Drosophila melanogaster: one gene and its partner. The protein of the gene in region 1 interacts with the protein of each later gene in a pairwise test. Each region holds a gene or a part of one and is shown in the gene's direction. Other genes may lie near its edges. The genes, in order: CG5726 and CAH15.

Region 1 (8,461 bases):
CTCTTCGCGCCCATCCCAAACACAAGATAGTCCAGCGAAACGGAGCGTGGGCCATCCGCAATATGGTGTCACGGTCGCGGAACCAGTGTGAAACCTGGATCTCCTTCGGCGTTGAGGATCTACTAAATATGGCAATGAAGGAGCACCCCAGTGTGGAGCAGGACATCAAGGCGGCGTTGCGCGACCTCGGCTGTAGTGTCCACTTGCGCGAGGAATGGACGGGCACGGCGGAGAAAAAAATTGCCGCCTAATCGCACACACATATGCCTTTTGTATTTTTATATATTTACTGCTAAATTATTACTATTGCTTAATTCATGCATTGGCTAACTAACAAAATCGGCAATCCTCAATACCAATCGCGTGCTAATACCCAACTGGGGCAGTCTCTTATGATCACATGGCTGTGGACTTATTTGCCCAGGTTAAAGTTGCGCAGCGAGCCGGCTTTAAGACGCTGGTTGACATTCCGGGAAAGGGCGGTCGAGGATCTGATTGTGGAAAGACCCTCTTCCTCGGCGCGCTGCGCAAAGGGGTCAACCTTCTCAGAACCGCCCATTCCATTGTAGACAAAATTTGAGCCCGTCGTGGCCGTCAACGCAGAACTACTTGAACTTCCCAGCAGCAGTCTTGGCTTCTTGAAGATTGAATACTGGGGGAATATACGGAATTTTTAAATGGTTAAGTGGAATTCGGCAAAATTATTGCGTTTACCTTTTCACTGAGATCACTGCTGGTTTTCCGTATGGTTCCGCTGGTCATAGACACACCGCCACCGACTCCCTTGATGGGCGATATTTTAGACTTGGCCAGCCCAATGTTACCCTTAGTATTAAGAAGATGCGCCAACCCGACGCTGCTGGATTTAATGTTGAGATATGGGGAGGTGGATTCTTCGATGCGCTTAATATTCTCCTTCTGTAGGGCAGCAAAATATTAGTAGCTTATATTTTCGTTTATTCGTGTCTACTCACAACTGTAGGGGAAATAGTGGTACGCCTTTCCTCCCTTTTAAGGGCCAAAATGTTGCTGTTCAGACCACAAGAGGCATTTGGTGAGTCCAAGTAAGCGGTCTTGTTCTCAAAAGCTTGTAGCTGAAAAGATAATAGTATGTTTAATCGAAATTGTGTTAAAGAAGGCTCAGCAAACCTTCTCCTGCGCCTGGTAAAGGTCGCTCTCCAGGTGTGAAACACGCTCTTCCAGCTTGCTGCAATCGAATGAGCACATATCAATTATAAAAACCACGTTTGGAATGTTGTGAGCATACCGCTTTAGTTCGATCTCCTTTCGCAGATCATTCTGCACCACCTTCACTACATTCCTGAGCTCCGTCTTTTTGCTCTCGCATTGTCGCAACTCCCTCTTGAGAGTGGACACCCAGTTGGCTAGGACATGTGGATCAGCCTCGTTCTTGAGCAAGCGGTCGGCATCCGCCGAGCCAGCCGCCAGAATAGCCGATATGCCTTCCATACTCTGGATCTGTGATTTCAATGTTTTGTTTTCCTTGCGCAACCCATCAACGACATGGGCATCACTCTTGAGGACGCCAATTTGCTCGACATAGCTGCTGATGAGAAAATCCTTCTTTTGCACCTTCTGCTCCAAACCGGCTATGGTTTTGCTGCAAATGAGAAATGCATCAGTCTGGTACTTAAGGCAATGTGTATACAAAAGCATACAGGCACTTCTTTTGTGTTTCCTTCAGATCCCGAATCTGCTGTTCATCCTTGTTGCGCTCTTTTTCGACCATTTTCATGGACAACATCGCATTGTCCAGCTGCTCCTGCAGTGAACCAACATCGATGTGGCTCACATCCAAGTTGGCCAGATTGAAATAGACCCTAAATATGTTGCGGGTAGTGCACTTATTCCGGCACTGAGGACAGGTCTTTGATCTGCGAAAGATATTTGATTTTATTGTCGGGAATCAGAAATATCCTTATGCGTTGTTTACCGATCGAGCCATTGATTTAGACAGTTGTGGTGGAACATATGACCACAAACTGTGGCAAAAACCTCGTCGGCCTGGCCAAACAATTCGGCGCATATCACGCAGTTTAAGTTCAACATTTTTGGCACAAATAACTACATAAAAATAGTTATTACAAAAGAACAACAAATAAACGCACGCCGAACAGTTTGCGCGCCCAACGAAACACAGCTGACTGATGGCGATTTTACGATGCTCCAATGAGCGGAATTCACCACACCAGTATTTGTCAAGAATCGATTGTAGACAATAACTGTTAGCTGATAGATATTTCCACGACAAACTAATTGCTAACTAACTTGGCTTAAGTCGAAACAACAAATAATGTTTACAAATACGCTTACTCAGCCACTGAAACTAAAATTCATCCTAAATTTTAGAAAGATATGTATGTGTGGATACTTTTTAAACCCTACTTCTTAAGATATACTGTGGATATAAATTTCATATTTTATTCTGCCAATCCATCTTAAATCCAGCTACTTATGCTCCGTACTTTAGCCCCATGGTGGTCTTATCGATAACAGCGGGAGCACTGTGGCGCTATTTACGAAAGCACACCGTGTGCTTTCGATATCGCGACAATGCTATCTAGAGGTGGAGAAACATCGATGTTTTAAAGAACACAACACATCGATGTTTTTCCACCTCTTTTAAAAGTCGTCAAATAGCAATAATAAATAGGAATAGTTATAAATTTGTGCATTTAATTTCGTTCGTTATTTGCGTTTCAATCGACCGTGGGTCCCAGTGAGCTAACTGCACCTGCACCCAAAGCGGAAGCTGAGCGAAAAGGTGTTTCATTTGGCGTGCGCATTTCGACACCTTTGTCAACGCTGATTCTTATTTGGTGGACCGACGACTCACACACACGCGCGTACCAATATAACAGACACTGAAGTGTGTGTGGAAGGGACAGACAAACAACCGTGCGATAACAACAACAAACGGCAGTGATCGCGGCGAGAAATGGAAATGGCCAACAACATGGTCAGCAGCAGCAACAGTGGCGGCGGTGGCAGCAGCAACACCACCTCCTACGGCAACAACAGCTACAACAACAGTGCGGTGGACAGTGGTCACAGTTCGCACAGTGGTGTCGGTAGCGGGGGCGGTGGTGAGGGAACGGGAGCGCGCCTCCGGGATGTTTGTACCATCCTGAACACTGGCCCCGCCGCCTATCAAAATCAAACAGGTGGCTATGCCTACGACCACATCATCGCCCTGATGAGGAACCTTGATCTGCAGGACGATGGCATTGTGCTGAACTCCAAGATCAAGACCATCGAAACGGACTTCTGCAACATAGTGCGCGACGAGTCTATGCTTTGGTATGTGTGCCGATCTCTACCGTTTGGTTGGTTCGCTCATTGATGATTAATCATATCATAAGTAGTGTGTTTATTTGCCACCTCTTTTCGCATATACATATGGATGTATGTAAATACCCGGCGTAGGTACAGTGCGGTGCGATAGCATATGGGCAAGGCGAGCTCCCAAGCCCATCAAAGCCAGCCATGTGATAACAAGACTTAATGCATGCAGTACATATCTGCCTGGCGAAGACCGATCCTTATTGTAATATTTATGACATTCCATTACAAGTAGCATGAGTAATTCGTTAAATTTGGGAGCTTGTGGCGTTCGCCCATAGGTTACAGCATTCTATAAGTTATTCCAATAATGAAATGCTTGAAATGCAGAAACCGAATTACTAATCAAGTTCAAACGTTAATTTGTTTTTACGCGTTCAAGAACCCTTGGGTTCTTAAAGTGCAACTTTGTAAACTTTTCTTCTTACTTCATTATTTTTAGGTTCGAAAAAGTTTTTGCGACCTTCTACATATACATTTCAATTTTATTAAATGTCTAAAAATCGATTTATAAATCTGAAAAGCACTGTATTTGTGTATATGTGTTCGTGCACGAGTTCGTTGTTTGCGACCAGGTTGCTCGAACGTCAGCGTGTCTTGAAAATTTACAACTTTTCATACAAATAAAGACGGGCAGAGAGACATCGGCGCCATCGAATCATTTCAAAGTGAACATTTTTCCCTCCGATTCTCTCAGGCTCATGCTCGAGTTAATTGCTGAACAAATAGTTCGCAGCTTGGGCTTATCAAACAATGCTGCTATGCGTTATATCAGTGGGGGTGTTAAACACAGTTGTAGTGCAAACTTTAACATTATGAAGTAGTAGTAGACTTGATTATTATAACATACTAATAAATGAAAAGTAAATAAACTAATTGTATTTGCAATTTTCAGTGAGTCAATGGAGTACCTGAACGACAAGGCGCTTAGCGATGGTGATACGGCGCTAAAGTTCGCCCTGCTCTTCTCATCGAGAAATTTCGACGCACTGGCCATGAAAGAGACGAAGGTGCGCAGCGCCATGCTCAAGATTTTGGAGACAAACTTCCTCAACGCGGACGCATATCGGTTGCACGACAAGAACCGACTGTACAACTCGATCACGCTGCTGGGTGAATATTATCACAGGGTAAGGCTGGCGGATAATACCCCGATCACCATTTTGGGTGAGTCCCTGCTGGACTTGCTTACCCGCGAGCTCAATGACACGTCGGTGGTGCTGGGCACTCGGATTGCCCGCCTGGTGCTGTCACAGATCACACTGAATGGGGAGATCATGCGCAAGCGGCATAAGGTCGAGATTGATTTACTGCTCTTCCACGTTCGCCGGCATTTGATCATGCAGCCCGCGCTGACCGCTAAGGTGAAGGCCATGCTACTGATGGTGCTGGACCTCTTTTACAGCCACTTTAAGCATATCGGCCACGACCTGGAGACAATGTACACCAACTTCTTGGTGGTGGAAGATGGCGAAGAGGATGGGGTCAACAATAATGGCTCCGGCCCCCAGGATCTCGCCGAAGATGGCCGCTCACAGCAGCTTCAGCATCAACAGTCAGAGAACGGCAGCAGCGCCAACACGTCCGGCCAGGATCAGGATACCTTTGAACCGCGGCCGTCGGCAAAGAAGTGGAGCGAGCAGGTGTGCGAGGATTCCTTTTGTGAAACTGGCTACGGTGAGGCGGATCAGGGCGACGATAGATACTCCGAATCTGGACTCTCGTATCAAGCGAATAACTCTGCTTCACTCGGCCACCGTCGTCGCGGATTCCAACCTCGGCAAGTGCCGCGTCCTTTGAAGTCACATCAATCACAACAGCAGCAGCACCAACAACCAGCCAGCATAGAGTATGTACCAAATCTTTACTATATAAGTGTAATACTATTTATAGCTGATAATCAATCACAACTTAACATGCATACGTTTAGAAAAAGTTCTACGACTGATAGGAATCTTTTAATATGATGAATAATTAAATTTATGTATATATATACATATATAACAAAATATTGCAATTTATTTATAGAGACATATCCAAGATTGATTCAAGTCCTTTAAGTAAGTCAAGGATAAAATATTTATTAACACCTATTGTTTAAAAATGTCCTAAATCCTAATTTACATTTCTTTAATTTTGATTTGAAGCAATCGAAAATTTGATTTGAACTGAGTTTCGAGTATTTAAGTTTAATTGAGGAATTTTAAATAACATTATTTTATTTAATGTATGCTTTACTGTAGATATTTTGGTAACACAAAAGTATCGTTATAAAAAACGAGAACTTTTATATTTAATTTATTTTCATTTCATTCTACCGATATTTATTTAACGACAAAATATTAACCACAAATTTTTGAACAGCGCCAGCTCCGACCAGTATCCATCCATGGCCAGCAGCGAGGATCGGGACGAGAGCAAGCCGCTCCCTAGCTGGCGGAAGACACGCTTCAACCGCAATCACGACGGCGACCAGAGTAACGGACGGTCGCGCGACCAACAGCGGCGGTACAGCGTGAGCTGCGACGATGACCACCACAGCGTGCGCAGCGAGGGAGGCGGCAACCTGCGACTGTATAGCATCCACGACAGGAGGAAGCACTCGCAGGAGCGCATCGAACGCAATATGTCTGGCGGTGGCAACTATAATAGTATAGTCAACTCGAATTGGGATCAAAGGGATCGCGATGATCGCAGTGAGCGCTCTTATATCAGTAACTACGAGCGCGGAAACAACTATAAGCGAGGTGGGCGATTCAATAACCGCAACACCTACGACAAACCGCCGCGATTCCAGAAACAACAGCAGCAACAACAACAGCAGATGCAACAGCAACATCAGGGAGGCAACCATAAAATACACAGCGATTCCTGGCGACGCTCAAACAATGCTATAAACAGTGGCTACCAAGACGAGAACTGTGCGTACAACTCGAATGGTCCGGAATCGAATAGTCGCAGCTCATCCAGGGCTCGCACTCTGCCGAGACCGCCAAAATCGCAAATGGATAAATCAGGCGGCTATAGGTACAATCAGAGCCCCACGCATGCAGGCGGTGGTCCTCGATTCCCGCGTTACAGCAGCCAAAGCAGTTTGGCCAGCGAAGCGTCCAGCTCGTTTGATCGTCGCCAACAGACATCGCCACAAAATCCACATCAGCATCAGCACCAGCGGCACCGCCATTTCACACGCCGCTCCCAGCCAGACATCCATCAGCCGCAGAACGAGGAGAACTGGCAGGGGCAGGCGGATAAGGGCCAACCACCATCCGGAAAGGAGGAAAGCGAGCTGGTGCGGAATGCCCAGCAGACCACTCAGTACATGAACTATTTGTCGGCCCAGAAATGAGTTTATACACTTTACGAAGTCATCCACATGTACGAAAATTGTTTTTGAAGTCCGTTTAGAAGTTATTTGTTTCGCCTTCGTATATGTTTCCTAATGGATGTGTATATCCACGTAGACTGTTTTCACATTATTTTGTCTTCAACTGAGCTCAAATGTTAAACCAATACAAAACAATTTAGACCAATCACAAAACAAATCCATCTCAAATCCAGGCTTAAAGAATATTAAGCATGCATGCATTACACATTGGAGCCACTAAATTTGTAAATACCAATTATATATATATGAATGTCTTGTGTAGTCCCACACAACCACGCCACATAAACACTCCCACACAAAATACAGTCACACACACTCATTTTTATATTTATATATACAAATTGCTTAGAAACTAAGTACAAAGTCAATGAAAAAACAAAAATAATCCTATTTCTATTGAAAAGTAAAACGCCTGTTGGTGAAATGTTAAAAGCATGTTGAACATATAAAAATTTGTATTTTTAGCTAAATATATACTTATATATTAAATGTCATGTTATAGTGCAGGTTCAGCCGATTTATTAAACGAATTATACAAGCTTACGTATTTTTAAAGCAAATTTTGTGAGGCCCTCTGTTGGAACAACAAAGCCAAGCCGGAGTGCAGAGAAAAACATGAATTGTAGAGTTATACGAGTAGTCTTATATAGATACTTAAACCTCTTTGTTTAGGTATAATCAATATGTTCGCAACATGCGTAGGTTCAAAACACTAATCAGCATATAAATAGCGTCTAACACATTTTTAATAAAACAAAAAAATTGCATTATCATTAATCAAACATTAAAACAAATTCTTTTGAAAACTTTTGAAATCACCAGCAGAATGTCATAGTCTTACCTCCGTATTTACATCACCTGATTGGATGAATGTATTTTCCGAATCCTTGTGGGTGACTCCCCTCGTCTTCTGCGTTTCCACTTTCCAGAACTTCTGTGGGCAACTCTCGGTTGTGCATACTTTACAAAAGCGATAGTAAGAAAGCTTTAAGACCGCAGTTTTTATTAATCTTGCCATTTTGAAGACAGTTGGTCCGTTTTAGATACAATATACAAAAAACCAAGATTTCCGTTTATCGTAGGCATTGATCAAGTCAAGGTCAAAATATTTTTAAACCCGTGTCTAGTCACAAACATCTTCACTTTCCAAACTATTATAAAGAATTGCATACTTGAGGGCAGCAAATAGCAGACTAACTTATACATATGTATATGGGGACTTTTATTTGTACATAATTTGCTGGCAGTCAAAACAAAGTTATCAATTTTTCGCTTGATTAAAGAAATTGGGGACAAATCTTGGCTTACTGATAAGCGAATTTAAAACAAGTACAGAAATAATAGATCCGATTTTTTTCAAAAATAGAATAAGACGTACATATGTATTTATAACACAGATTCATACAATAAGGCATAAGAGATTTAAGATATCAGCAGCATCATCGATCTGCCTGGTCACGTGGGGTGACCACCAGGACTTCGTAGGTGTTTACGCTCACCTCTTGACCATGATGCGGGATGTACATGACCTTGTGGGAAGGATGCACCTTGCCCAGACGCAGGATACCCTGGTAAAGACCACGACCCGTGTAGGTGACCTCACCCAGCTCGGAGTAGCCCGTGTTCAGAGCATCCCGCGGATATGTTCCATGCTGTCCGGGCACCCACTTGTAGTCACAGTCGTTGAGCACCAGGATCTCGACATCATCG
Region 2 (4,665 bases), 2.7 Mb from region 1:
TATGCAGCCGGGCAAGTAGCAAACATTGTCAACAACGGCAAGCAAAACACGTCAACGCCCCTAAGCTGCTAATGAGGGCAACTGTGGCTAGGCTGAGGCTGTGAAAACAACACAGGAGTAGAGAAAGGACGCATGCTGCGTTAAGGATCAGGATCACATTCGCAGGCAGCTGAGATGCAGAGAGAGAGAGAGAGAGAAAGAGATAGAGAGGGAGAGTGAAACATACAGTAGCAACATGGCCGCAAAACGATCTTGAAGAATGTCCTTGCGGTTTCGCCAGAGAAGACACTCTCACAGGCGTTGTTCATTTAACAATCACACAGGACAAGCGATAATCCCGACCCTCCCAAACGAATTCCATAGCGGACTGAGATACAAAGGCCTAAGCGGATTGGCCAAACAAAGTTGAGTGCCCTAAATACCTTGTCCTGAACCCTCGCCTGCGCCGTGTTTGATGTCCTGCGGCGCATATTAACATTATCAGCTGTGTGCTTTGCGATGTGTGCAAAAGAGATGGCCGTCGAAGTGGAGAAAATCCCACTAGACAATGTTATCGGAGCCAAAGTAATTGTCTCGTCCTTGTCCGGGCATCCGAATAATGTGTGAAAATTTACACCGAATTTACACCGGAGGCCCCGCTGCGCCCTACAGCCAAGGACATTCTTCTTCGGTCGCCGCAGTAATCGGCAAATGTGGTTAAGTGATTTAAGAGGATATTATCGAGCCGTGCAGCAGACAAATCAATCGAATTCAAAGTGAGACCAATTTCGTTTGCATTATCCTGCGGCCAAAGACAGCGTGATTGTGCGATGCGTTTTTCCTCGCCTCCCATTTCGCATCGCTTTAACAAAGTTTCTCCGACCGGAAACGGAAATTTCCTTTGCATGTTTGTATGTTTGTGAGTGCTACAGTTGCCGATGCAGTCGACGGAATTTGCGTATTTATGGAAAAAAAAGCATGGGACAGCTTTGTATATTGATGATTTCATAATTATATTTCGATGAGTCTGAAACTTAAAGCACACATCTTAAGATATAAGTAGTTAAGTCAAGTACATTGTATAATTAGTATAATAACCCTAATATGCTATCCTTATTTATATGTAATCACGCTCCCAACTGAAATAACCATAATCTGAATGTAGCAGTGATTTATGTAAGTCGATCAAACGCAACTCGGACCACTTAAATAGAGTCCATGTGCCGGATATAAAAACGCAGTAACCAAAACAAACATTGTGTAATGTGACAAGCAAGCAACCCCCTGAACCGAATCTGCAGCCTCAATTAACCCTAAGCGACCATAAAAATCGAGTCATTCGGTCACAAATGAAAACAACTGCCTGGAGGCCTGGTTACTCAAAAATGGTTATGATTGTTATTCCGTTATATTCGTATTCTGTTATTTTGGCACCCTCTGGCAGGACTCGGCTAACGATGTTAGTGTTTCCGTTTATGCCACATGCTTACCCGTCAATTTGCGTGCAGCTCACATGCCCCAGGACATGTTCATATCCACGGACACTACGGCTACTACGAATACCACCCGGATACCCGGACAAACCAAATACCCTGGCAGCTGAGAGGAGGTCCTGCGAGGTCGGAGCACGGACAATTTGTAACATTTGGCAGACGTCAACGCCCTGCACAAGTGCAGAAAAATGAAATCAAATCAAAGCCAAACGAATTGATCAGAAAAATGCCATAATTGAATCGCAGTGGGAACCCACCCCGCATAACACCGAACTGTGGGCGTGGCCGTCCTTTGATAACTTTATGCTAATCAGAGATGGCCGAGAAGTCTCGAATTTCACAGGCCATAAGTCAAAAGTACGACTAGGGCCTACACGCAGAGAAAATTTATATATTAAAAGGGGATTAGTTGATAATTTTTCTCAGGTTTCATTGGATTATAAAGCCACCCTTTAATATACATACATTTTTGGAGGCATATCATAATTACTTAACGATAAACCTATTCAATATGTTTATCGGGTTATATAGTATTTAACTATTTTAAAAATCGAAACGATCCATCCTTTAAGTTCCTGTGTAGTTCCTGCCGCAGCACAAAAGGTGTTGCTGAAGTGCTGGAAATAATTTCCGTTCCGCTCCTAGTGCTCATTTCGCCTATTTTGTACGTACAAAACTAATTAATTTCCCAAAATGCAACATAGAAGAGTTGCGGGGGGGAGGCGGGAGGTGCCGGGCGGGTCCACGCAGGAGCGGCACAGGATATTTGTGCAAGCAATTTCCGCCGCCGAAGAGAGTTTTGTGCGTAATTAATTTATGCAAAATACAAATGCAAACAAATTGCAAATGTTTTCGCACAAATTGTGCGCTGTGCGCCCAATTTGTTTTCCAAAATAATTAACTTTTCAGCGGGTTTAATTAGAAATTTTCTCAATTTTCCCGCTCAGCCAGGAAGGCCAGTGCCTGGCTGTCATCCAATAAAGTTATCATTTCCCAGCAAGTTTTTCCCGAGTGGATTCTACTTTGTAACTGTGGTGATGAAGGGATGCCTCACCTGTGGTCTGCTAAATTACCTATGGTGCTCGCTAGAAGACATATCCTGTCGACTCCAGGACAGCAATCTCCTCAAATTCATCCTGGCCATCGGTGTGGCCCTATTGGTATTGTTCAACGTATACACAGGATTTAGCTTGGCCAATAGATGTGATGAGGGATCGAACGATGGATGTGCAAATGCTGGCGGCGATAATTGCAGAAGGCTTCGTGGCTCTCCGGAATCCTACAATTATGACTGGGACCAGGGACCTCATACCTGGGACACTGCGTGCAACAATCAGAGTCCCATCAACATCGATATGAACTGTGTGGAAATCAACTACTTTGATACACCGTTGATATGGTCGCACTACAATAGCATTCCGCTGGGCATTCGCCTGGAGAACAACGGACACACACTGATCCTGCGAGCAGCTTTTCCAGAACGAACGCCCTCCATCGACGGCGGCGATCTACTTGGGCGCTTCGACTTCCGAGAGATCTCGTTCCGCTGGAGCTGGGCCAGCTCGTTGGGATCGGAGCACACACTGGACCATCATCACAGCCCGCTGGAGATGCAGTGCCTTCACACAGATGGCGACGGTTGCGATGGCTGCTCTTCTAGCCAGGGTGTCCTAATGATTTCCTACATGTTCGATCTGTCCGAGCACAATCCGTTTCTCGATGTCCTCATCCAGCATCTCGCTGCTGTCGAGCAGGCCGGTCAGGTGGTGGAAGTGCCACCGTTTCCACTTAGCTACCTCATGTCACCGTTCTACGACAAGTTCTACAGTTACAATGGATCCCTAACCGAACCGCCCTGCCACCGTGGGGCGGAGTGGCTAATATATCCCGAGTCCTTGGCCATCAGCGAGCGCCAGCTGAACGAGTTCCGCCAGCTGAGGGATAGGCGTGGTTCAAGGATAGCGCGCAATGCGCGTCCAGTTCAGCCGATCGGGGATCGAATGGTATACCTAAATCGCTACAGGACGGGGTTTTAAAACAGATTGGCTATAGTGTATGTGGAAAATATAATTCGATAAAACAGAATAGAATATGTATATATTTTTCAGCTACAAACTAACCCTTTCACTTTATTATGGTTGAGATTGAATTTATATACAGTATCTGTAAAGACAGGAAGCAAGTTGCATAACTACATTGCTTATAAAGATTTCTTAATAAGAAACAATGGTAACACCAATTAACTATGTACAACCATTATTACATTACATACGTTCATACAGTAAATACCAAAATCCAATTTATTACATAATCCTTGTGGCATGGCAGTCAGTACATGTTGTACTTCCAAGTTGTTACTAATTGGTCCTGGTTTCCGCCGTATTTCTGATTCGGGGTCCTGCTGGTCAGTCTTCCGCACAATTTACTTTGGGTTGCCGTTTGCTGGGCAAATAGTGTGCTTATATAGTAATTCACTAATTAGTCGTTCAAAGAGCATTAGCATTGGCATTAGCATTAGCCGTTGCAGGGACCCGAGGTCCCGAGGACCTGAGCCTGTTCCGCATCCTGTGCGCAAAATCGCCGCAGGACATGGCAATGCGATTGTGTGCGTGTGAGTCTGCGTCTGTAATTTCGTTAGTGCAGCGGAAACTGTTGCGGACATGTTTGCCCTGCGATTGGGATTGGTATTGAGATTGGCAATGGGAATGGGAATGGGATCGGAATGGGATGGGATGGGCACGGGCATGGGATTGGGTTTTTGGCCCTCCTGCGGCGAAGCACCCTCATCTCCTGTCCTCCTCCTCCTCCTCCTTCATAGCCTGCTCCACCCCACCCTGCATTACAGCTGCTGCTTGGCAATCAGAGAGTTCCAGTTTCCAGGCTTATAATTATCAGTTGGCGCCTAACCATACATACATACATATGCACACACATATAGCTGAAAGTTCGACCATGTTCGGCCATTGGCCTGTAATTAGTTTTTATTGCAGAGATGAGATGAAAGGGGGGCTTGGAGCAACGGATCCAATTCGATTTGAGGCCTGCAACGTCGACTTGTTTAATCAATGACAGGCCAAGTGAATTTTACTGCAATTGCATTTGCTGCAAATCAACGCTAATGAAATTATACAAACAAGTTTCGGTACGCTTTTGTTGCTTCGTGCTGCGTCAATATTTGTGCTGTGCGCCCATT

Evidence for each region.
Region 2: the proteins of CG5726 (region 1) and CAH15 interact in a two-hybrid assay, tested with the Drosophila melanogaster proteins (one large-scale study listed by BioGRID).

Annotation. Positions count from the first base shown.
Region 1 is NT_033778.4:18,174,331-18,182,791, reverse strand, and holds CG5726 (uncharacterized protein), read left to right. Parts: upstream 1-2,594; 5' UTR 2,595-2,959; coding exon 2,960-3,321; intron 3,322-4,258; coding exon 4,259-5,212; intron 5,213-5,727; coding exon 5,728-6,712; 3' UTR 6,713-7,537; downstream 7,538-8,461. Other genes in the region: CG5721 (uncharacterized protein), read left to right, coding at 1-251; nopo (no poles), read right to left, coding at 413-652, 715-918, 975-1,094, 1,150-1,207, 1,268-1,621, 1,680-1,895, 1,955-2,070; CG10916 (uncharacterized protein), read right to left, coding at 8,191-8,461.
Region 2 is NT_033778.4:20,907,247-20,911,911, forward strand, and holds CAH15 (carbonic anhydrase 15), read left to right. Parts: upstream 1-2,457; 5' UTR 2,458-2,509; coding exon 2,510-3,508; 3' UTR 3,509-3,555; downstream 3,556-4,665.